5 linked regions of the Oryctolagus cuniculus genome follow. The protein of the gene in region 2 binds, or shares a complex with, the protein of the main gene of each other region. Links are inferred from orthologs where the notes say so. Each region holds a gene or a part of one and is shown on either strand. Other genes may lie near its edges.

Evidence for each region.
Region 1: CIR1 (region 2) and ZNF541 share a complex: the UniProt entries of both Homo sapiens proteins name them as parts of the histone deacetylase complex. The link is inferred for Oryctolagus cuniculus from reciprocal best matches to the Homo sapiens genes CIRSR and ZNF541.
Region 3: CIR1 (region 2) and DNTTIP1 share a complex: the UniProt entries of both Homo sapiens proteins name them as parts of the histone deacetylase complex. The link is inferred for Oryctolagus cuniculus from reciprocal best matches to the Homo sapiens genes CIRSR and DNTTIP1.
Region 4: CIR1 (region 2) and SAP30 share a complex: the UniProt entries of both Homo sapiens proteins name them as parts of the histone deacetylase complex. The link is inferred for Oryctolagus cuniculus from reciprocal best matches to the Homo sapiens genes CIRSR and SAP30.
Region 5: CIR1 (region 2) and NKAP share a complex: the UniProt entries of both Homo sapiens proteins name them as parts of the notch corepressor complex. The link is inferred for Oryctolagus cuniculus from reciprocal best matches to the Homo sapiens genes CIRSR and NKAP.

The regions. Positions count from the first base shown.
Region 1 is NC_091449.1:10,111,624-10,115,257, reverse strand, and holds part of ZNF541 (zinc finger protein 541), read right to left. Parts: intron 3,591-3,634; coding exon 3,532-3,590; intron 3,300-3,531; coding exon 3,140-3,299; intron 2,911-3,139; coding exon 2,737-2,910; intron 1,889-2,736; coding exon 1,567-1,888; intron 1-1,566. UniProt on the Homo sapiens protein: Transcription regulator which is essential for male fertility and for the completion of meiotic prophase in spermatocytes.
Region 2 is NC_091434.1:66,790,747-66,794,380, reverse strand, and holds part of CIR1 (corepressor interacting with RBPJ 1), read right to left. Parts: intron 2,011-3,634; coding exon 1,893-2,010; intron 1-1,892. UniProt on the Homo sapiens protein: May modulate splice site selection during alternative splicing of pre-mRNAs. Regulates transcription and acts as corepressor for RBPJ. Recruits RBPJ to the Sin3-histone deacetylase complex (HDAC). Required for RBPJ-mediated repression of transcription.
Region 3 is NC_091442.1:13,601,560-13,605,866, forward strand, and holds the start of DNTTIP1 (deoxynucleotidyltransferase terminal-interacting protein 1), read right to left. Parts: upstream 2,811-4,307; 5' UTR 2,741-2,810; coding exon 2,636-2,740; intron 2,121-2,635; coding exon 2,050-2,120; intron 1,620-2,049; coding exon 1,523-1,619; intron 1-1,522. UniProt on the Homo sapiens protein: Increases DNTT terminal deoxynucleotidyltransferase activity (in vitro). Also acts as a transcriptional regulator, binding to the consensus sequence 5'-GNTGCATG-3' following an AT-tract.
Region 4 is NC_091433.1:55,750,152-55,754,236, reverse strand, and holds the start of SAP30 (histone deacetylase complex subunit SAP30), read right to left. Parts: upstream 2,837-4,085; 5' UTR 2,499-2,836; coding exon 2,184-2,498; intron 629-2,183; coding exon 503-628; intron 114-502; coding exon 15-113; intron 1-14. UniProt on the Homo sapiens protein: Involved in the functional recruitment of the Sin3-histone deacetylase complex (HDAC) to a specific subset of N-CoR corepressor complexes. Capable of transcription repression by N-CoR.
Region 5 is NC_091453.1:73,167,813-73,171,944, reverse strand, and holds the start of NKAP (NF-kappa-B-activating protein), read right to left. Parts: upstream 2,897-4,132; 5' UTR 2,273-2,896; coding exon 1,893-2,272; intron 1-1,892. UniProt on the Homo sapiens protein: Acts as a transcriptional repressor. Plays a role as a transcriptional corepressor of the Notch-mediated signaling required for T-cell development. Also involved in the TNF and IL-1 induced NF-kappa-B activation.

The sequences.
Region 1 (3,634 bases), on a different chromosome or scaffold from region 2:
CACACCATATACAAAAGATAACTTAAAAATGCAGTGAAGACCTAAACGACAGAGTCAGTCATAAAACTCTTAGAAGAAAACCTTGGAGTAACTGTTTGTGAATTACATTTCAGGAAAAATCTGAACATTTAACACCAAAAGCACAAGTGACAAAAGGAAAAATATATCAAAATCTAAAACTTTTGGACCACAGTGATAGCATCAACAAGATGAAAAGGCAGCCCACAGGATGGGAGAGGGATCTGGGAAGGGGCTTGCATCCAGAACATAAGGAACTCCTGGAACTCAGTGATAAAGAGACGGTCGCTCCATGTTAAGAAACAGGGCAGGGTCCAGACACTTCTAAGAACATACACACAGTGGAAAGGAGCCCAACATCGCTGGCTGTCAGGGAAGTGCAAATCAAAACCACAATGAAATACTACTTTACACCTGCTAAGCTGATTACAGCAAAAAGCCAGGCAGCGACAAGTATCGGCCAGGGGGTGGGGAAACCAAGACCCTCACACGTGGCTGGTGGGGCGCGGATGCTGCCAGTGTCGGGGAAGCGGTGACGCAGACAGTGGTCACGTGACTCGGAGGAAGCCCACATCCACAGCAGACGCCTGTGCAGGAAGGCTCTTCCCAGCTTCTCCGTCACCGCCGCCATGTGGAAACAAGGCTCTCCGCCTCGCAACGCAAGAGCAGACAGACCAGACGTGGTCCGTCCCTGCGGCGGAACGAACTCTGGCACCTGCCACCACAGAGGCGAACCCTGGAAACACTGTGCTAAGTGAAATGATCGGACGTGGAAGGCCGCACGCTGTACAACTCGAGTTCCGGCCAACCCACAGAAGCAACACAGACGCAAGGCTGCCTGGGGCCCGGACTGCTGGGATACGGGGCAGGGGTGACTTCTAGAGGGTTCAGGCTTCCTCCAGGATATGACAATGCTCTACAATCAGACTGTATGGGGAGGGGCACACGCTTGTAGATATCCTCAAAAATGGGATTTTTTATTCATTTTATTTGAGTGGTAAGGAAAGGGAGAGAGAGAGAGAGAGACAGAGATGTCTATTCCCCAAGTGCCAGAAAGAGCCAGAACTGGGCCAGGCCAGAGTTAGGAGCTGGGAACCTCATCCGGGTGCCCCAGCCATCACCGCCCCCTCCTGGGAGCAGCAGCAGGAAGCTGGAATCAGCAGATCCAGGCCTGGAGCCCGGGTGCTCTGATGTGGGATGCAGGTGTCCCCGCTGGGATCTCAACCACTGTGCCAGATCCCCGCCACATGTCACACGCGACATGGCTGACGTGTATGTGTTGGATCTCAGTAATGATGTTGAGATGAGCAGGCAGAAAGATGGTCAGGGTAAACGGTCTCTGTTTTCTTTCCAGCTATACAATTCCAAGCACCCAGGGCTACTGGTCCCAGATGGCTCTGGGGTACTTCCGGGCAGCAGTGGGACCCTCAGGCCAAGCACCCCACAGCCAGAGAGAGCCACCGGACCAGATGCTACAAAGACGCACGGCAGCGGTCCAGGGCAGAGGGGCCTGGGCAGCACGAGAGGGAGCAGCCCAGCCCTACTCACCCAGCACGGAGCTGCTGAGCTGGCTGGGCCCAGCCTGGGGGCACGTGGAGCAGAGCGTGTTGAAGTAGAGCCCGGAGCCCTCCCGGATGGGGCTGAGCATGGGAGGCGGCGTGTAGGGGGAGCACTGGAACAGGCCCTGCAGGAGGCGGTCCACCAGGAACACCGGAGAGCGCAGGCAGCTCTGGTGGCCCCCAGGGCTCGGCGCCCTGAAGGCTGAGGGCTGGGGAGGGATGAGCAGCGCCTTGGACTGGGGGCGCTTCTTCCGCTTCCTGTGCTGGCCGCCCTCCTTGCCGTCCCTTTCTTCCTCGTCTTTCTCTTGTCCCTGGAGAAGGGAGTTGGGGACCACAGGCATTCACTACAGCAGTCGGTCTTCAGGTCAGCAAACAGGCCGGAAAAGGGGACGGAGGGAAAGAGGATGTGGCCACGCCCGGAGCCCTCAGCAAACAGGGCCGAGCAGGGCCTTGGGCAGCTCTGCCCCGCTGCCACACCCAAGCCAGACCCGAGACACCAGGTGCGGGGACGTTCCACGGCTGAAGCCCCAGGAGGCCCGAGGCTGGGGATCTTGGAAGCGTGGGAGGACGGTGTGGGCTCTGGTGGCCAGCACTTACCCAGTGGGGCCGGGGGGCGTGGGCCAGGGGACCAAGTGGCAAAAGCAGCTCCCGCGGGACCAGGGCATCTTTGGGCCCAAACACCCAGCACGAGTGCAACACAAGTGTCCCATGGGGTCCTCGTACAGTTGAGAGAGGCCCCACAGCGTGATCACTGATCACCAGATCTCCACCCCTGTTGGCCTTATTCCTCTTCATCCCCCAGGACTCAGCTCTGACAGCTCCGCCTCCAGGAAGCCCTCCCTGATCTCCTCAGGCTGGATCAGGAGCCCCTCGGAGCTCCCCCAGAAATCCTCTTCCACCAGCCCTGCCCACTCTGGACTGTCACTGTTTGGGACAGGTCTGGGACTGGGAGCCAGGCTGTCCCGGTTAGTGCTATGTCCCCAGCTGCCCCAGCACAGGCCCAGCACAGAGGGCTCAGTGAACATGGAATGACTGAGCGAATGTGCAACCCGAATTCTTCAGTGTCAGGACTTTCTGGGGTGTGGGGTTTGGGTTTTTCCCAAGGCTTCCGCCAAAAGCTGGGAAGGGTGGCAGAAAGGCAGCAGGGGTGAGCCCCCACCTTGGCCAGGCTCCCCAGGGCTCGGCTCCCCAGAGCCACAGGCACCGGCATGGGGATCACCACAGAGGCTACAGCCGTGCTGTCCAAGGGCTTCTTGGCTCGCAGGGGAGTCTGTCCGTCCCCATCTGGCCTCAGAGCCTGTCTTGGTGGCTTGCAAAACTCTGTGCCAAACACCTGAACCCGGAGAAGAGGGGGCTCCTTAAGGAAATGGCAGGCAGGGACAAGAGGAGCTGCCCAGGATACAGGGGAAGCCCTGGAGGCCTCTCCGTGGAGAACAGGCCAAAGACAGGGCTGGGCAGCTGCTGCCACCCCACAGCCACAGCCACAGCCAGCCCCAGAGAGCAGTCCAGCCCTGACCCTGAGCCCCTGCACCCCCCCCCCAGGACAGAGCCCCCAGCCTCACCTGCTGCTCCTGCTTGCCCCGCGGGGACGGCCACTGGTCGCTGTGGAAACACATGTGGCTGTTGAGCCCCTTCTCCGTATAGAACATCTGGCTGCAGTTCTTGCAGACGTACGTGCTCCTTGGCTCTGTCCACTCGCCAGGGCCCCCGTTTTGGTGGCTGCTGGGAAGACAGGCAGAGGGGAGGATGGGAGGGTGGGGCTCGCCCCCCGTCAGGGTGCTCTGGGAGTCTGGACCACCTCTAACAGATGCAGGCTTTGCCCAGATTCTTCTGCCTGGAGCGTCCTCTTCAGCACGGAGGCACCCCGCTCGCTCCCCCAGGGCCGGCACCAGAGCCACAGAGGGTGCCTGCGGCATGGGCACCTCAGGCGGGTGGGTGGGGCCGCAGCACGTACCATGTGCCTGCTGCGTGCTCGTCCCTCGAGGGATGGGGTATCCTGTAGACGTTCCCACCCTGTAGAGGAAAACATACCTGAGGCAGTGCCATGGGAGTGCAGA
Region 2 (3,634 bases):
AAAAAAAAAAAAAAAAAAAAAAAAAAAAAAAAAAAAAAAGAAAGCAAAGGACTAAGTCCACATTCTACCCTATTCATTCCCAGAGAAGTGGAATCAGAGTACCATGAAGCCAGGGAACAAGGGCAGCCATCACTCTTCCTGGTCCCATGAGTTTTGCAGTTGAACAGAAATCGCAAGATTGCAACGAAGGAGAAGATGAAAAATGTACATCACTTCCAGAAAACAACATACTTTTCAGAGGTAACAGATCTCTGATTAATGGAATAAGTGGTCATAAATATTTGAGCCAAGGGGTTCTTGCTATATGATTTGCCCCATTCCATTTCCTTTGGGGCCTTTACTCCTTTTTCCACCAGCTGGAGAAGGGTAGGCAAGGAGGGAGCATTGTGTATGTGGTTTCTGGGAGCACCTGTCATGTGTTATTAACAGGATGTTCTTTTATCAGAGCCTGCTAGACCAAAGGCTGTACTAGTGTTGTCTCATCACTGAGCAAACAGTTTTCCTTCTACTTAAAAGGTGTTTTCTTATTTTAGCAAAATAAGGATGTTTAAAAAAATAATTTTATACTCTTTATACTTCTTCCAGCAATTCTGGTTCTCTCCCATAAATCCCATTAAACACATGATGTCAAACTTAATAATGGATCCAATTCCTAAACTCCTAATATGAGAACTGGCATCTTGAGACCTGTGGCCTGAGTCTGGCTTGCTGCCAGGAAGCAAGATCTCTGGTTACAGGACACTGGAAGATGATACAGATTGAGAGTAAACCCTGGGCATGGATGCAGGTGGCAGCAGGAGCCATGGGGAGTCCAGAGAGATGCATCAGAGACTTGTTGGGCTGAGGAAGGGTTTTCAGGCCTAGAGCTCTGCTTCAGCAGAGCAACTCAGCTTTTATATGTGAGCACTTAAGAAACCTTAAGTTAAAATGAAATTACAAGGGTATTTTATTTTGATGCAAAAAAGTTTTTGAAATCTATGCAGTTTTCAATATTTTCCATGAACTTTTTAAAGATCCCCTTATGCGTGGACTTCATTTTTTTTGGCACCAAATTAACTTAATGTTGAATTTTCCACAAATTTTCTTGAGTGTCTTCACATGTCTATATACTGGTGTTTCATTTAAGATTTCTTGAAACAAAAAAGTTCTACAGCTTAAAAATACTGAAAATCTCTGTTGTATTATCACAATTATTTTAAAACAAGGAGCTGAAGTTCATACAAGTGAAATGACTTGCTTACAGTAACAGTGTTAAGCAGGTTATTTCTAATATGATCTACTATGAGTTAGGGCTGGATTTGTGTGGCTGTCTCAATAATGCACTAACAAGGCACTGATAAATTCAAATTAAAACTTCTTATTTTAATATCTTTTTATAAAAAGAACCAAAATGATTCAACTCAAATTAGACCAATTTTTCTTGAGTAGCCAGTAACATGTAAGATAGTAACGTTCAAATAAAAACCAGTTTAACATATTTAATATCCTTTTTTGCTCAGCTTTGTTTTTAATCTCTGAACTAGAGATGACAGTTGAGGCTTTCCATCCAGCTGGTTTTTATAATTCATGATCATATGAATATGAAAAATCACAATTTCTTTCTTGTAATTTTAGGCTACTACCATGAAAAAACTGTCTTTAATGTCTCATACTTTAAAAAGTTCATAGGAACTTTGGCTGCGAAAATTAAACTTAATTTTATTACACAGCATTTCCAATTTAACACATATGATCAGAGTTTCCTACTGAGCATTATATCTTGAGAATATATCCCAGTCCAAAAGACCAAAACAAAATAATATCCAGAGAGATTAAAGAAAAATATGATTTAAGTTTTCCTTGTTTGTCCTGGATATAAATCCTAAAACAAATAAATCATGTCTGGTGCCTACCTGAACCATCAGTAGGAACTGAACTTGCGTTGATTCCAGAAAGACCGAACAAAGGACATTCTCGGTCTGTGTTGACATGACCCCACTTGTGACATTTAATGCACCTCACATTTCGAACCTGAGAAATAGTGAACATAATTTTGTTTACTAAGATACAAAGAACTTGACCAATGTTCAACATTCTATATCTTGGCAAAGTTTAAAATAAATGACTCACAGTTTTAAAAGATTTTCAGGTGCAGGTATTTGGTTAAGTAGTTAAAGACACCATTTGGGATGCTCACATCGCATACTGGAGTATCTGGGTTTGATTCCTCGCTCTAGTTCCCAATTCCAGCTTCCTGCTAATACAGACCCTGGGAGGCGGCAGGTGATGGCATAAGTAGTTGAGTCACTGCCAACCATGTGGGAGACCTGGATTGAGTTTCTGGATTCTGGCTTCAGCTTGGTTCAGCCTCAGCCACTGTGGGCATGTGGATAGTGAACTAACAGATAGGTGTGCATACTCACATTCTTTCTCTCTTTCTCTCTCTCTGCCTCTCAAATAATTGAGGGAAAAAAAAAAAGACCTCCAGAGGAAGAGACTGTATAACTATAACTATGTTTCATAATTTAATACAGACACCAACATCTTTTACTATAAATTCTGCCCAAAAGCTATGCCACATTCATTTTCTTTTGGCCTCTTGTTTAGTGACAATGTAACAGTCACCCAAAAAGAAATGGTAAAATACCAAAAAATAGCCGGCGCCGTGGCTCAATAGGCTAATCCTCCACCTTGCGGCGCCGGCACACCGGGTTCTAGTCCCGGTCAGGGCGCCGGATTCTGTCCCGGTTGCCCCTCTTCCAGGCCAGCTCTCTGCTATGGCCAGGGAGTGCAGTGGAGGATGGCCCAGGTGCTTGGGCCCTGCACCCCATGGGAGACCAGGAAAAGCACCTGGCTCCTGGCTCCTGCCATCGGATCAGCGCGGTGCGCCGGCTGCAGCGGCGGCCATTGGAGGGTGAACCAACGGCAAAAAGGAAGACCTTTCTCTCTCTGTCTCTCTATCTCACTGTCCACTCTGCCTGTCAAAAAAAAAAAAAAAAAAAAAAAAAAAACCAAAAAATAATTAAATCATGGCCTAATTTGAATGCATTAAACCTTTAAAGTTTTGAATTAAAAAAAAATTCTTTAAAGATTTATGTATTTATTTGAAAGGCAGAGTTACAGAGAGGGAAAGAGAGAGAGAGAGAGAGAGAGAGAGATCTTTCATCTGTTGATTCACTCCCCAAATGTCCACAACAGTTGGAGAAGCACCAATCCAAAGCCAGGAGCCAGGAGCTTCTTTCTGGATAGTAAACACTTCAGGCTTTTCAGGCCAGGTGGTTATCTCTGTTGCAACTACTTGATTCTGCTATTTCAGTAGGAGAGCAGACATAGACAATATATAAAAGATTACATAAGGTGATGTTCTAATAAAATTTTCTTTACAAGAATTTGATCTTTCAGTTAGAGTATGTCCTGGTTCTAAACAAGTAATAGTTTTAAATCTATTCTTGATCTTAAGCTAAGTCTCCAAATTTTTTGAAAACCATAGAGACAGGGCAGCAGGTTAAGCAGCTGCTTGAAACACCAGCACCCCATACTGGAGCTCTGGTTGGAGCCCCAGTTGTTCCACTTCCAATCCAGCTACATTAATGCACCTGGTAAAGCAGTGGATGATGGTCCCAGTGCTTGGGCCCCTGCCATCCATATGGGAGAC
Region 3 (4,307 bases), on a different chromosome or scaffold from region 2:
ACCTGGATAGTGTTCTTGGCTCCTGGCTTTGGCCTGGCCCAGACTTGGCTGTTGTGGACATCTGGAGAGTGAACCAATGGATGGAAGAGCTCTGTCACTCTATTTTTCAAATGAATATACATACATACATACATACATACATTTTTAAAGAGTGTTAACTTATCTGAAGCTGTGATGCAATCAATTCATTTGCAACTTGTTGAAAAATGAGTGTGGTGGGGGCTGGCGCTGTGGTGCAGTGGGTTAAAGCCCTGGCCTGAAATGCCGGCATCCCATATCGGCGCCGGTTCTAGACCTGGTTGCTCCACTTCCAATCCGGCTCTCTGCTGTGGCCTGGGAAAGCAGTGGAGGATGGCCCAAGTGCTTGGGCCCTGCACCTGCGTGGGAGACCCGGTAAAAACTCCTGGCTTCGGATTGGTGTAGCTCCGGCCGTTGACACCATTTGGGGAGTGAACCAGCGGAAGGAAGACCTCTCTCTCTGTCCTTCCCTCTCACTGTCTGTAACTTACCTCTCAAATAAATAAAATCTTTAAAGAAAAATGAGTGTGGTAAGAAGGCATCTTCACAGACGCTATCAGAAGGAGCTCATGGCCACAGACTGTGTTTACCCAGCGTTTGTGCAGGAGAGAAACACTGAATCAGCAAATCCACCACAGGGAAGCGGCCTGCAGTGAAGTATGGCCTACCCTTCTCTCGTGGCTTCCCTTTTACATTTCTAGGTCTGTAAAGGTGTGGGGGTGTGGGACATGCCCAGGGCATGGGGACCCACGTGGGGAAAGGTGGCTATTTCATCACAGTGGCCACATACGCCAAGGGAAGGGATCTGGATTTCCCAGCAGGAGGGGCGCCTCTCTGGTCACCAGTCACTCTCCTTGCACAGCGGGCTGCAGTCACACCGGCCAGTTCCTTCCTCCCTGTGGCCGGACTCTTACCTCCCACACATTTGCCAGGCTTGCTCTTCCCTCACGCTCTCTGGGTCTTCACACAAAGCCCCCTCTCGGAGGGCCTTCCCAACCCCTCTTCTCTCATTCCCTCGTGTCACACACACACACTTGTTTACAAAGGGCGAGCACAGTGTCTGCTTTCTTACAGCTACAGTGCTAATGCCGAGGACGGCACGTGCAGCACGGCGGCCGCTCGGTAAATGCTTCTTGAATACATGACTACACAGAAGAGGAGGCTTCGAAAGAAAGAGTTTAGTTCTGAATGTGCTAAGTTTGAAGCACCCATGGGACACTCAGGCAGAGCTATGTAGTGGCCAAGGAAATAATTTTAAATGATAACGATGTTAATATCAAGTAATAAAAACAGTGGTTATTTTCCAAACATGGTGCTAAGCATATTACACTTAAGCAAAAAAAAAAAAAAAAAAAAAAAGGCAAAAAAAGCATTCTAGGGGCACAGGGTGAGGGCGAGGGAGACATAGAGAGAGACACAGAGACAGAGAGACACCAGTGCGGCAGGGAAGGGCGAGGCTGCCCAGGACTCTCCCTGTCAGTTTCGCACCCTCCTGTCTCCTCACCTTCATGTACTTGTTGAAGACCGTCTGGATCTCCTCATTGATGCTCGGCTGCAAGACAGCCCGGAGGAGATCCATGGAGATGGCCGGGTCTGTGAAACTGCCGGGAGGGAGGGAGGGAGGCGGTCAGGGGGCTCAGGGGGCGGCACCATCTCCCTTCCCTGACACAGACACTGCTCCTAGCTCCCTGGGACCGCTGAACAAACAGGCTCAGGGAGGCAAGGCGGCCTGTCCAAGTCACCCAGCTAATACAGGTCGGGTTGTCCGACTCGGGGCCTGGGATGCCAACCTCGAGGCTCTGCGACCTCTTTGGCGCCCTCCACCCCGGAGCCAGGGAATGTTAGGGATTTCGGGTGCCGTTCCCCCCACCCCCCCACTTTGCAGAAGAGTTCAGCTCAAGGTCACGGCCACAGCGCCCACAGCGCCTCCTTCCCCCGACTGCAGATCTCTTCTCAGGCTTGTGCGGTGGGGGTCCCACAGCATCGGTCCAAGCCAGCCCTGGGACCGGTTCCAGCCAGGGCCGGCCTTACCTTGTTGTCATCTGAGAGCGGCGGCCCCTTCGCTGCACTTGACGGTGCTTTATCATAATGTTCCAAGGGTTCTGCGGGGACCAAGCGAGGGAGCAAACGTCACTGAAGCCGGTGACACTGACGCGGCGTGGAGGGGGAGGTGCGTGCGAGGATTAGCCTGGACCCCGCTGCACCTCGGCTGCTCTCTCCAAGTCTCCCACCGGGTGGACAGGCCCTGCCCGGGAAGAGGGCCTGAGGAAGTTTCCTGTCCCAAACGTCCCAGGTCCGCCTTTCCTGGAACGGCTCAAGGCAACTCGGGTGCCGGGAGCTTTACCTGCATCTGTCACCCCACCCCGACAACTTCGAAGGGACAGGCACCATTCCTCTCCATTTTATGTTAGAGCAGCCTAGAGGGGGGTGCCAGGACCGGCCCACGTCACCTCGCCGGGAGGGCGGCACCAGAATTTGAACCCAGGTCGTGGGACTGCGAAAACGCCAACCCCCTCGGGCAGCACCAGCCGCCGCGTTCTCTCGCCCGCGGGCCAGGGTCCCGGGAGCCCGAGGCCCCCGCCGGCCCGAGCTCAGGCCTCAGCGGGGGCGTCCTCACCGTGAGAACCAGCTGCCCAGCTGCGCTCGCATCCCCCGGCTCCGGGCCGCCCCGCTCTGTCCCGCTGGGTCCCCGCGGCTGCTCGGCGTCGCCAGTGGCCCCCATGGCGCCCCCGGCCACCACAACTTCTGCCCGACTCTGCCACCGGCCGGAAAGTGGCTCTGTGACGTCACTGGAGCGCGCCGCTCGCCGGCCCGGAAGCTCGCCGCGGAGCGCCGCGGCGTTGCCAGGGGAACCGCGCCGCCGTCTCTCGCCTCAGTCTCCGGTCGCACCATGGGGTAGCACCAAGTGCGCGAGTCTTTGCGGTTAACAAGAAATGGGTTGAAATCCGTTATGATATGGTGGTTAGGGCATTGGCTGTGGAATTGGATCGCCTGCCTTTGTTCCTCCCTCTTAGGAGCTGTGGGATTCGCGGGCCTCAGTTTCCCCGGCCGTAAGATGGGGTTAATAGCACCTAGTTTATAGCGTCGCGGTGAGAATTAAGTGAGTTGATTCATGTTAAGCCCGCCAAAGTCTGGCACGGGTAAACCCCCAAACGGTGCCATCTGTCGTTCCCGTAGGAAATTCTAGCGGCCATACACCGCCTTTGGCCATTTTTTTCTCAGCCCCTCGGAATCGGTTTTGCAAGAGTATAGTGAGGATTGAAGTAGATCATAGATGTTGTGCTCAGATAAGTAGATCCCCAAGAAGCTATCAGCGACCCCATCACACCGACCTGCAAAAGCAAGGTTTATTTTAAAAGTACAAGCCCGGCAGGGGCCTTATCTGACCAGCGGAGGTCAGAGGAAGGCCCAGGTCTTTGTTCGGGACGCTTTTAAAGGGAAGATACGTCAGGGTGCCGGGCCTTTTGTGATTGGGCAGGGCAGTTCCCGGTTGCTCTTAGTCGGAGGGGCGTGTCTCTGTTTGGCTTGGGTGCAGGGAGTTACCTCATTTGGCACTCTCTACTGAGCTGCCCTTGGTCTGCTGAGCTGTCCTTGGTAAGCTTTGATGTCTCCAGAATGCCTGAATGCCTGCTTTTACAAAGGACTCGGGTCTGCTACGGGAAACAGAGGCTGCTTTTTATTTACGTTTTTAAATGGAGCCACTTTGGCTCTTCAGTAGATATATGTATGTGTGCAGCAATTCGAGTATTAGGTGATCAACATGTGGCACTTACCGCCGCGCTCTGACACCAGCTGCTAACTCGGAGGCAAACTTCCTGGCACTGTCAAGGAGGTTTGTGCCTTGTGCCTGGTGTCTGCCGCTCTGTCAGTTCCCAGGGCTAAGCAGTGCCAGCGGACAGAGGGAAGAGCAGGACAAAGGAAAATGGACAGAGACAGAGGAAGAAGAGATAAAAGGGGCGTCTGTGGACCGACCACACTGTTGGAGTCACGGAGTCTGCTCTCTCGGACTCTGCCGGCCAGCCTTCCTACCTATCCCGGCCTATGTGGGATACAGAGACCCAGACACAGGTTTTTGGTGCATTTGTATTGGTGCATTTTGTATTGAAAACACCCAAATACTGATTTTTCATAGTTTTTAAGTGATTTTTTTAGAAAAGATTTATTTGAAAGGCAGAGTTAGAGAGAGAGAGAGAGAGAATGAATCTTCCATCTGCTAGTTTGCTCTTCAAGTAGCCGCAACGGTCCTGGCTGGGCCAGGCTGAAGCCAGGAGCCTGGAGTTCCATCTGGC
Region 4 (4,085 bases), on a different chromosome or scaffold from region 2:
AAACTCATATATACCTCAACAAGCTGTGCTTTATTAAGTCCTGGTCTGGTTGGTAGCTTGAAGTGTCTTTTGTATCTCCTAAGCGTATTTACTTGTAATTGGTATAAATCAACCTAGAAAAAAATTTACACATATGAATTAGTCCATACTGTTTTTTTAAAATTTACCACTGATAGGTTCAAGAACAAAATTTCAACTTCAGCACAATACAAACTTAACTCCATGGTTTATATATAAACACTTTAATCTTTCTGGGATAAATACTATAAACTGGTGGTGGTATTATATATTATATATATGAATAAAATTCTAATAGTTGTCAACTGAAAATATAATAATTCAAACTGTATAACTTTTATTAACTGGGTATATTTAACTTTGCTTTCATTTCCAGATTTCTCAAATGTTTTAAATGTTTAAAAAATTTCCTCAAATGTTTTTATAAAAATTTCAGAATGAACTACTTAGGAGTTACATTAAACATACAAAAATTTTCATCTACCTCTGGCGTGTCAATATCTTGAACAGGTGAATCACCTCCATCATCATCACTGCCTTTTCTCTTTCTTCTGTTTCGAACACTCTGAATTAAATTTTTATGATAATCACAAATGTAAAGATGCCTTGCCTGAAACAGAAAGAGTTCACAGACTGCTTATTTTACAGTAAAATGTTTCTGTGCATTAATACACACATAGGCCACAGGGAATTATTGAAAACAGTCAAAACAAGCCATTGGTAAGACAAGAGTATGTTTCTAGTCTTAAATCCTAGGCCTTGTTAAACCAGATGTCTGGCAATACAGAGCGGAGTGGGAGGAGGAAGAGTGTAGTGCCACTTGGGGGAGGGACAGAGGCAGAAAAAGGAGAATGAGAAATTCCAGTCCTCTGGGTTTTGTCATCAAATTGCAAAGGTTGACCTGAATTAGTTATTTCAGGCTGGATTTTTAACTGGCAAGGGAGAAGATGATGTTGACCACAATTCTGTTACCTGATAGTATTTTCCGCTTAAAGAGCAAACTTAAGTAGTACCATGCATGCTTTCCAATCTAATTTACTACCCAAATCATATTACAGGCACAACATTTTCCAAACTAGCTATTAATTTTTATCCTATATTTAAATTTCAATTATAAATTTTTCTAAGTATTAAATCAATGTATTTGTATGTGATACAAAGTAATCTGAAATTATTCAAATTCACCTGAAAAGTTTCTCACGAATACCACTAAAGAGCTGTTTAAAACAGGCAGAAAATGTCACAATAAACTTTTCAAAAGCTTTAATTACATATTTTCATGAGAATTGTATAGCGACACGGAAATACTGGGCTTCATATTTTGACAGCTAATTCCTTAAAAAAAAAAAAAAGGGCTGAGCTAACAGGCTTGACAATTTTCAAGCTAAGCCTCAGTTAAAAACATGCAGGACGCGCGCTAGGTTCTGACAGCTTGGTATTCATTGATTGCCAGCCAGAACTCCGAAAAGTAGCAATGGGTGTTTCTAAAACCCTCCCAGTCGGTCAAAAGAACAGAAAACGGAATCCTGATGGCTGCCAAGCGAATGGCAAGACCGCAGAGGCTACGTGCTCCCACGTTCAGAGTAGCTGCGGAGCAGCTGACACTGCAAACACGGTGTACAGCCCCTGCGCCGCGCGAGGCGGCAGGGTGGGGGGATCTCGCTCTGTGTTCCGGACCAAGGACCTTCCTGGGTGTAAGGTCCGATTGGACTCCACTTTCCCCAGAGTAGGGCAGCTACTTCACCCTGGGGCCACACGCCAGCTCGGGCAGCACAACAAAGGCTCCTCCATTCCAAGAAGGGGTTGCCGGGCTGCAAGAAAACTACTCCGGGTGCTCCGTGCGACCTGCCCCTTTGTTTCGATTCCCGATTGCAGCAGAGGAGGAAGAGGGAGGACTGCGCGGGAGAGACGCATGCAGCGGGAGGTCGGGGGGTGGGGAGAGGAGGAGGAGGAGGGGCACCGCAGCGTGTGTTTTTGCGTGTTGGGGGTGGCGGTCGGAGTTGCAGTGACTTTGTTGTTTGCTCCCGAGCTAAGACTTCGCAAGTCCGCACTGCAGCCAGGTCGGGGGTGGGGGTGGGGGTGGGGGTGGGGGCTGAACCTTGCCAACAACCCGTGTCTTTGCCCAGCTGCTGGAGCCCCACAGGGGCGGTCCCGCCGTCACTTACGCTCTTATCCAGCTCGATCTTCACCTTCTTCTGGGAGATGCTCTTCTGGATCCTCTTGCTGAAGCTGGCGTTGCCTGCCGCCCGGCCGCACCGCTCACCGTCCTCCCGCAAACAGCAGAGTTGCCCGGGGCCCGGGCCAGCGGCTCCCGGGGGCCCAGCCGCGGAGACCGCGCCGCCTCCTGGCACCTCAGCCCCAGCGCTCGCCCCGTTCCCATTTCCAGCCGAGGCGGCGGCGGCCGCTGCAGCGACCACGGCGGCCACCGCGGCGGCTGCGTCCCCACCGCGGCTCATCTCCTCAGGCGTGAAGCCGTTCATGTCTCCGCGCTCCGAGGCGCCGGCGCCGACAGAAATCCCCGCTAGTCTCGCCGCTCCGCCTCTCTCCGCCAGGTCCCTCGGGCACACGATCCGGCGGCGGCAATTCACTCTGCACCCCAAGTTCGGCGATGGCCCGGCCAAACACGCAATGTCCCCAGCCTGGCGATTACCGTTGGCGCCGGAGAGTGGACAGTGCTGGGGGTTAAGACTCAAGAGTGGGGCAGCACAGGGACCTGGGACCCCGATTACTGTCACATGGAGACTTCAACACTTGGACCGCGGCGCCTCCGCCTCCCTTCGGCCCCTGGACCTGCGCAAGCACGACGCACCCCCCCCCTTCCGCCCCTTCCACTCTGCCGCGAGTTACCACGGGAATTGTAGTTCCCTACTGCGAAGTCGTCCTGAGTTTCGCCCTAATCTGGCGTCCAGTAAACTGGATGAACTACACATCCCAGCATGCATCGCGCCACAGCGGGCCGATTTTTTTTCCAAAGCACAGGGAAAACAGGAGTGTGTGGTTGTGGATTACGCTGTTTATTCTAGTCTCCTGTGTCTCCCTGGAAGTTGGGTGGTGTTTAGCTCCTGGAATTTCGCGGGGTTGGTGTTCAGAGGAAGTCAGCCGACTCTGAGGGGAAGCATAAAGGCGGGTGGGGGAGTAAGTGAGCGTGCAAAAAAAAAAAAAAAAAAGTTTCGGGGCCGTTCTGCGTGTGTGGTAAAACCGTTTTTGGTGAACTATGCTTTTGAGGGAAACCAAACCAAGGAGAATTCAGTCAGCTGGCGCTTTCCAGGTCTTTGAGGTCCTGCAGCTAACACCTCTGCTTGCCTAAACACCTCTTTCTTGCAGCAAATTAACGGGACGACTGCTAGGAAGGAAATGCCTACTTCTTGACAGTGACAGATCCTACTCAAAAATGCCTTTTCTAAATCCTTGTTCGTTCCTTCAGTGTTTCATTCTTAGGTGCAAAAAGCAGGTCGCTTCCTGGGGTAGAATCACTGGCTAGTTGACAGTAACTGGACTACTTTTTCCCTCCATTCCCAACCTTGTCAGTTTCTCCTCGGATGCCTCTGAAGGAAAGAGGCGTCTAGAGGGGCGCGGACTGCAGCGTTCCTAAGTCATTTGGATTGCTCCTCGGAAACTCCCCAGGGGTAGCTCTGCCCAGTGTGGAGAAAAGCCGCATTCTCCGAGCGGACTGCACGGCCGTGTGTGTTGCAACAGGCTCCTGTGAGCGCGCGTGTGTGTACGTGCATGTGCGCGCGTACGTGTGTATGCTTGCATGTGGGAGCGTGCTGGTGGAGGGCGGGTTTGGAGGAAGGGCGTGGCTAATATAAAAGCTGCGCATTAACTGGTAACAGCGCACCGGTTTAATAGTCTTTTTAAAATTTTTGTTGTTGTTGTTGAAAGGCAAAGTTACAGAGAGATTAAGAGAGGCAGAGACAGCCAGAGATGTTCCATCTGCTGGTTCACTCCCCAAATGGCCATAAGGGAGGGACTGGGCTGGAGCCAGGAGCTTCTTCCAGGTCTCCCACGTGGGTGCAGGGTTCAAGCACTTGGGCGATGCACTGCTGCTTTTCCAGGCACATTAGCAG
Region 5 (4,132 bases), on a different chromosome or scaffold from region 2:
AATTTGTGACAGAGTTTTACATTTGGAAATAACTTCATTTGTTCAGATGTTTATGAAAGTAAAGAGGAGTCTCTTGATTTGCTCAAATCTTCAGCTTTCAGAAGCCCAGGAATTGATAAAAGCAGAAAACAAAAGTTCTAAAAATGAAAAAAAGTCTTATTTGACAAAACTTGTACTCAGTGAGACACAGGGTTTGTTCTCTCTCTGTTTTCCCTTTAGTTTCTTTTTGGAAAAGTAGTACATTCTCTATTCTTTGGAGGACATTAAAATTTTCTTCTTTTGTTTTATAATGTGGTTTGTTTTAATTTTTGCTATTACTCTTAAAGTTAAAAAAAAAAGGCCCACTTCCTAAAAGTTTGGCTGTTTGTGATTTGATTTCTTTTTAAACATCCTTACAAAATAAATATAGCTGGTTTGTTTGAATAAATTATATTATTTCTTCAGGGGGAAATTATATCATCATTATGCAGAGTCAGACTCAGCATTTCCCACTTTAAGAAACATACAATCTAAAAGGGGACATACTTGGAATATTTACATATAGGGAGAAGAGTATCAGCCAAATTCTACAGTGCTTGGAGTCCTGTTCTCATACCTGCTGTCACCTGGCTTCATCTGTACTGTTAAGATAAATTACTTATCTCCTTAAATGTACAAATGCAAATTTCATTCAAGTAGTTCTGACATATTTTGGTGGAGATTTTCCACTAAGAAACCATTTGCTTTTTGATTGATAAAGCCTCTGGGTACTTTTCTGAAAAATTTAACTTGGAAGTAACCTAACTCAGGACTGTTTTCACTGTTTCTTCTTCCATGCATGCTGAACTAACATCTAACACTTGTGGAGTATTTATTATGTTCCAAACACTAAATTATTACAACCCTAAAATCCTTCATACTAATTTTATCTTTTTTTTAATAGTGAAGAAGTAAAACTCAGAGAGGTTAAGCAACTCGCTCAAGTTCACACTGTTGTTAAATACCAAATAAGCACATCAATTTCAGACAGTCTGATTCCTGGATGAAACTGCAGTTAGCAAAAGAATCACAAAGACACCTCTCAACTGCTGAAACTTTAACTTGCTCCTCAATGCCTGAAATACTTTTACATTTCTCATTTTCTGACACATACAGCATGTCTAGTCCTCAGCACAGTACTGGATACATAAATCTAACCTTTAATAAACATTAGAGACAAAGGCTTCCACAGCAATAATTATAAACCTTTTCCTTTCCCCTTAAACCATGCATTTTTCCACTCCATACTCACTCTTACTAGAAATTTGATCTCACCCCAATATCATTTTTCATGATCAAACAAGATCGAGACCACTCTGCAAGTCCTTTCTCAAGGTAGCCTCATCTACAGCCTAGCAGGTCACTTTTCCTACATTCATCGCCTTGTCTGAGGGGAAGATTTTCCTTCTCTCCAATTTAAACCCTTGATTTCAACCTTCCCAATTCCCCACAAAACATTACCACTTACGTGTTCTGTTAAATCAAGCCTATTTCTTCAATAAGCAATGGTTGCATGTTTGCAAAGTGCTAGGCACTGGGAATTCTATAATCAATAAAAGGGCTCTCAAATGATAATGGCACAACCAAGTAAATGCTATAAATCTGGTAGATGTGAGGCTCTTGACCGCGTTTGCTAACAACCCCGAAGAGGGAAGAGGGTAGCACGAAACCATGGCAATGTATAATGAATGAAAATGTAAGGGAATAAAAGGACGTATAAAAGGGTCGCCATGGGTGGACTGGATAACGGGGTGAAAACGGATACAAGGCAAGTATGAGCGAACACAAACGGCCACAAGAGGAATGAATGATAAATCGGACTCCAAAGGGAGGTGGGTTCGTAAAAGGAAAAGTGGGGGAGGGGGGTCACTCACTTCTGCCGCAGGCTTTCCTCCCTCTCCTTGTCCAGGAGGCTAGGCCACGGCTTGTCGCTCCCATAGGGGCGCGAGTAGCCGCCATAATAGGTGGACGAGGAGACAGAAGCGAAAGGTGTGCTCCGAGGCGCAGAGGGCCGCTCTCGAGAACGTGACCGCGAGCGGGAGCGGTAGGACTGGTTTCTTGAGCTGTGACTGAGGCCACCTACATGGTGACTGAGGCCATTCCGTTCCCCGGATCGAGAGCAAGAGTGCGAGCGAGAGCGGCGGCCCCGCGGGGACCGAGCAGATTTGCTGGGCTTGGGGCTCTTCGACGAACTGCGACGTTTTCCCCCGGAGCCCGAAGTTTCCGGGCTCCGTGAGCCGGATACCCGAGCCATTGCTGCTGCAGGATCCCAGAAGTCGCTGAAGAAGGGGGCGCTCTCACCAGTCTAGGAAGATCCCGGTTGCCTTGGCTTTCAGATCCCGCCACCTTACAACCACCCAAACCTGAGGGGAACCTTGGGAATCGTTTCGAGTACGTCGGTAAACCCCTTCCCCGGACGTAGGCGGTTCTGCAGACTTGAACGGACGTGTGTATCGGTATAAACAAGCCGGTAGGGCAACTGGGTCTACGCTCTCCTCTAGTTCCGAGTGGCTTCTCAAAGCTAAACTAACGGGGAGAGGAGATAAAGTCCTTTCTCAGCTTCGAACTTTGTGGTACCTGAAGAGAAGGATGGCGGAATATAAGATACATTTCACAGAGTGGTCGTATGAACAACACATCCAATTCTGTATGTGTTTCGTGTGCCTTCTGTGTATAATTATGCATTTATGTATGATTGAGAATATATATTGCATATAATTTGGTTTTTTTTCCTAATCCCAAGAAAAATTAGGAAAGTTTATCGCGATTGGGGTGAGCTATGATATCTAAGCTCCGTATTGCCCAGGTAGCATAGAAGGCACAAAGTCTGTGTTAACGTCTTGAGCCTGATACACTCCAAATAAGTTTGCAGCCCAGAGAAAAATTGCATACTTTTCTTACAGTAACTATCTCCACCCGTGTGCTTCAGCAAAAGGAATATGTAACCCTCTCTTTATCCAGCCCCTTAAACTAGTCATCTGCTAGCCTAGCAATATGTGGTTTATGATCAGTATTTCTGTTCATTTTCTACTGTTTTTAAATTTGGGAGGTAGAGACAGAAAGAGAGACAGAGTTCCTATCCACCAATTCACTCCTCAAATGCATGCAACAGCCAGGATTGGGCCAAGCTGAAACCAGGAACCAATACAGGTGTCACACGTGGGTGGCAGGGACCCAATTACTTGAGACATCACCTGTTGCCTCAAGGGTCTGCATTGGCTGGAAGCTGGAATTAGGAGCTGAAGTCAGGAATTCTGGCATTCTGATATGGGATGCTGGCTGCTGCTGCTGCTTTTAAAATATTTATTTACTTATTTGAAAGGTAGAGCAAGAGTGAGAGCGAATGTGAGAGAGATATGGAGGTCTTCTATCTGCTGGTTCACTTCTCAAATGGCCCCAGCCAGTCCTTTGGCAGCTTTTCCAGGCACATTTGCAGGGAGCTGGATTGAAAGAGGCACTGCGATATGGGATGCTGCTGTTGCAACCGGCAGCATAATTTGCTGTACCACACCAGCAGCCCAGGGTATGGGCTCCTTCCTTCCTTCCTCCCACCCTTCCTCTCTTTATTTCTTTTCCTGTTTCTTCTTCTGCTTTAAAGATTTATTTTTTTTTTCAAGGGCAGAGTGACAGAGAGAGAGAGAGAGAGAGAGAGAGAGAGAGAGAGAGAAGGAAGGGAGGGAGGAAGTAAGGAAAGGAAGGAAAGAAGGCAGGAAAAGGAAAGGAAAGGAAGGGAAGGGAAGGAAGGGAAAGAGAGAGAGAAAGAGAGAGAGAGAGAAAGAAAGAAAGAAAGAAAAAGAGAGAAAGAGAGAAAGAGAGAAAGAGAGAAAGAGAGAAAGAGAGAAAGAGAGAGAGAGAGAGAGAGAGAGAGAAAGAAAGAAAGAAAGAAAGAAAGAAAGAAAGAAAGAAAGAAAGAAAGAATCTTCCATATGCTGGTTCACTTCCCAGATGACTGCAGTGGCTGAGGCCTGTCCAGGCTGAAGGAGCCCAGAATTCCATCTGGGTCTTCCAAGTGGGTCACAGGGGCTTAAGTACTTGGGCCATTTTCCACTGTCTTCTCAGGTGCATTAGCAGGGAGACGTATCAGAAACGGAGCAGCTGGGTCTCCAACCAGCAC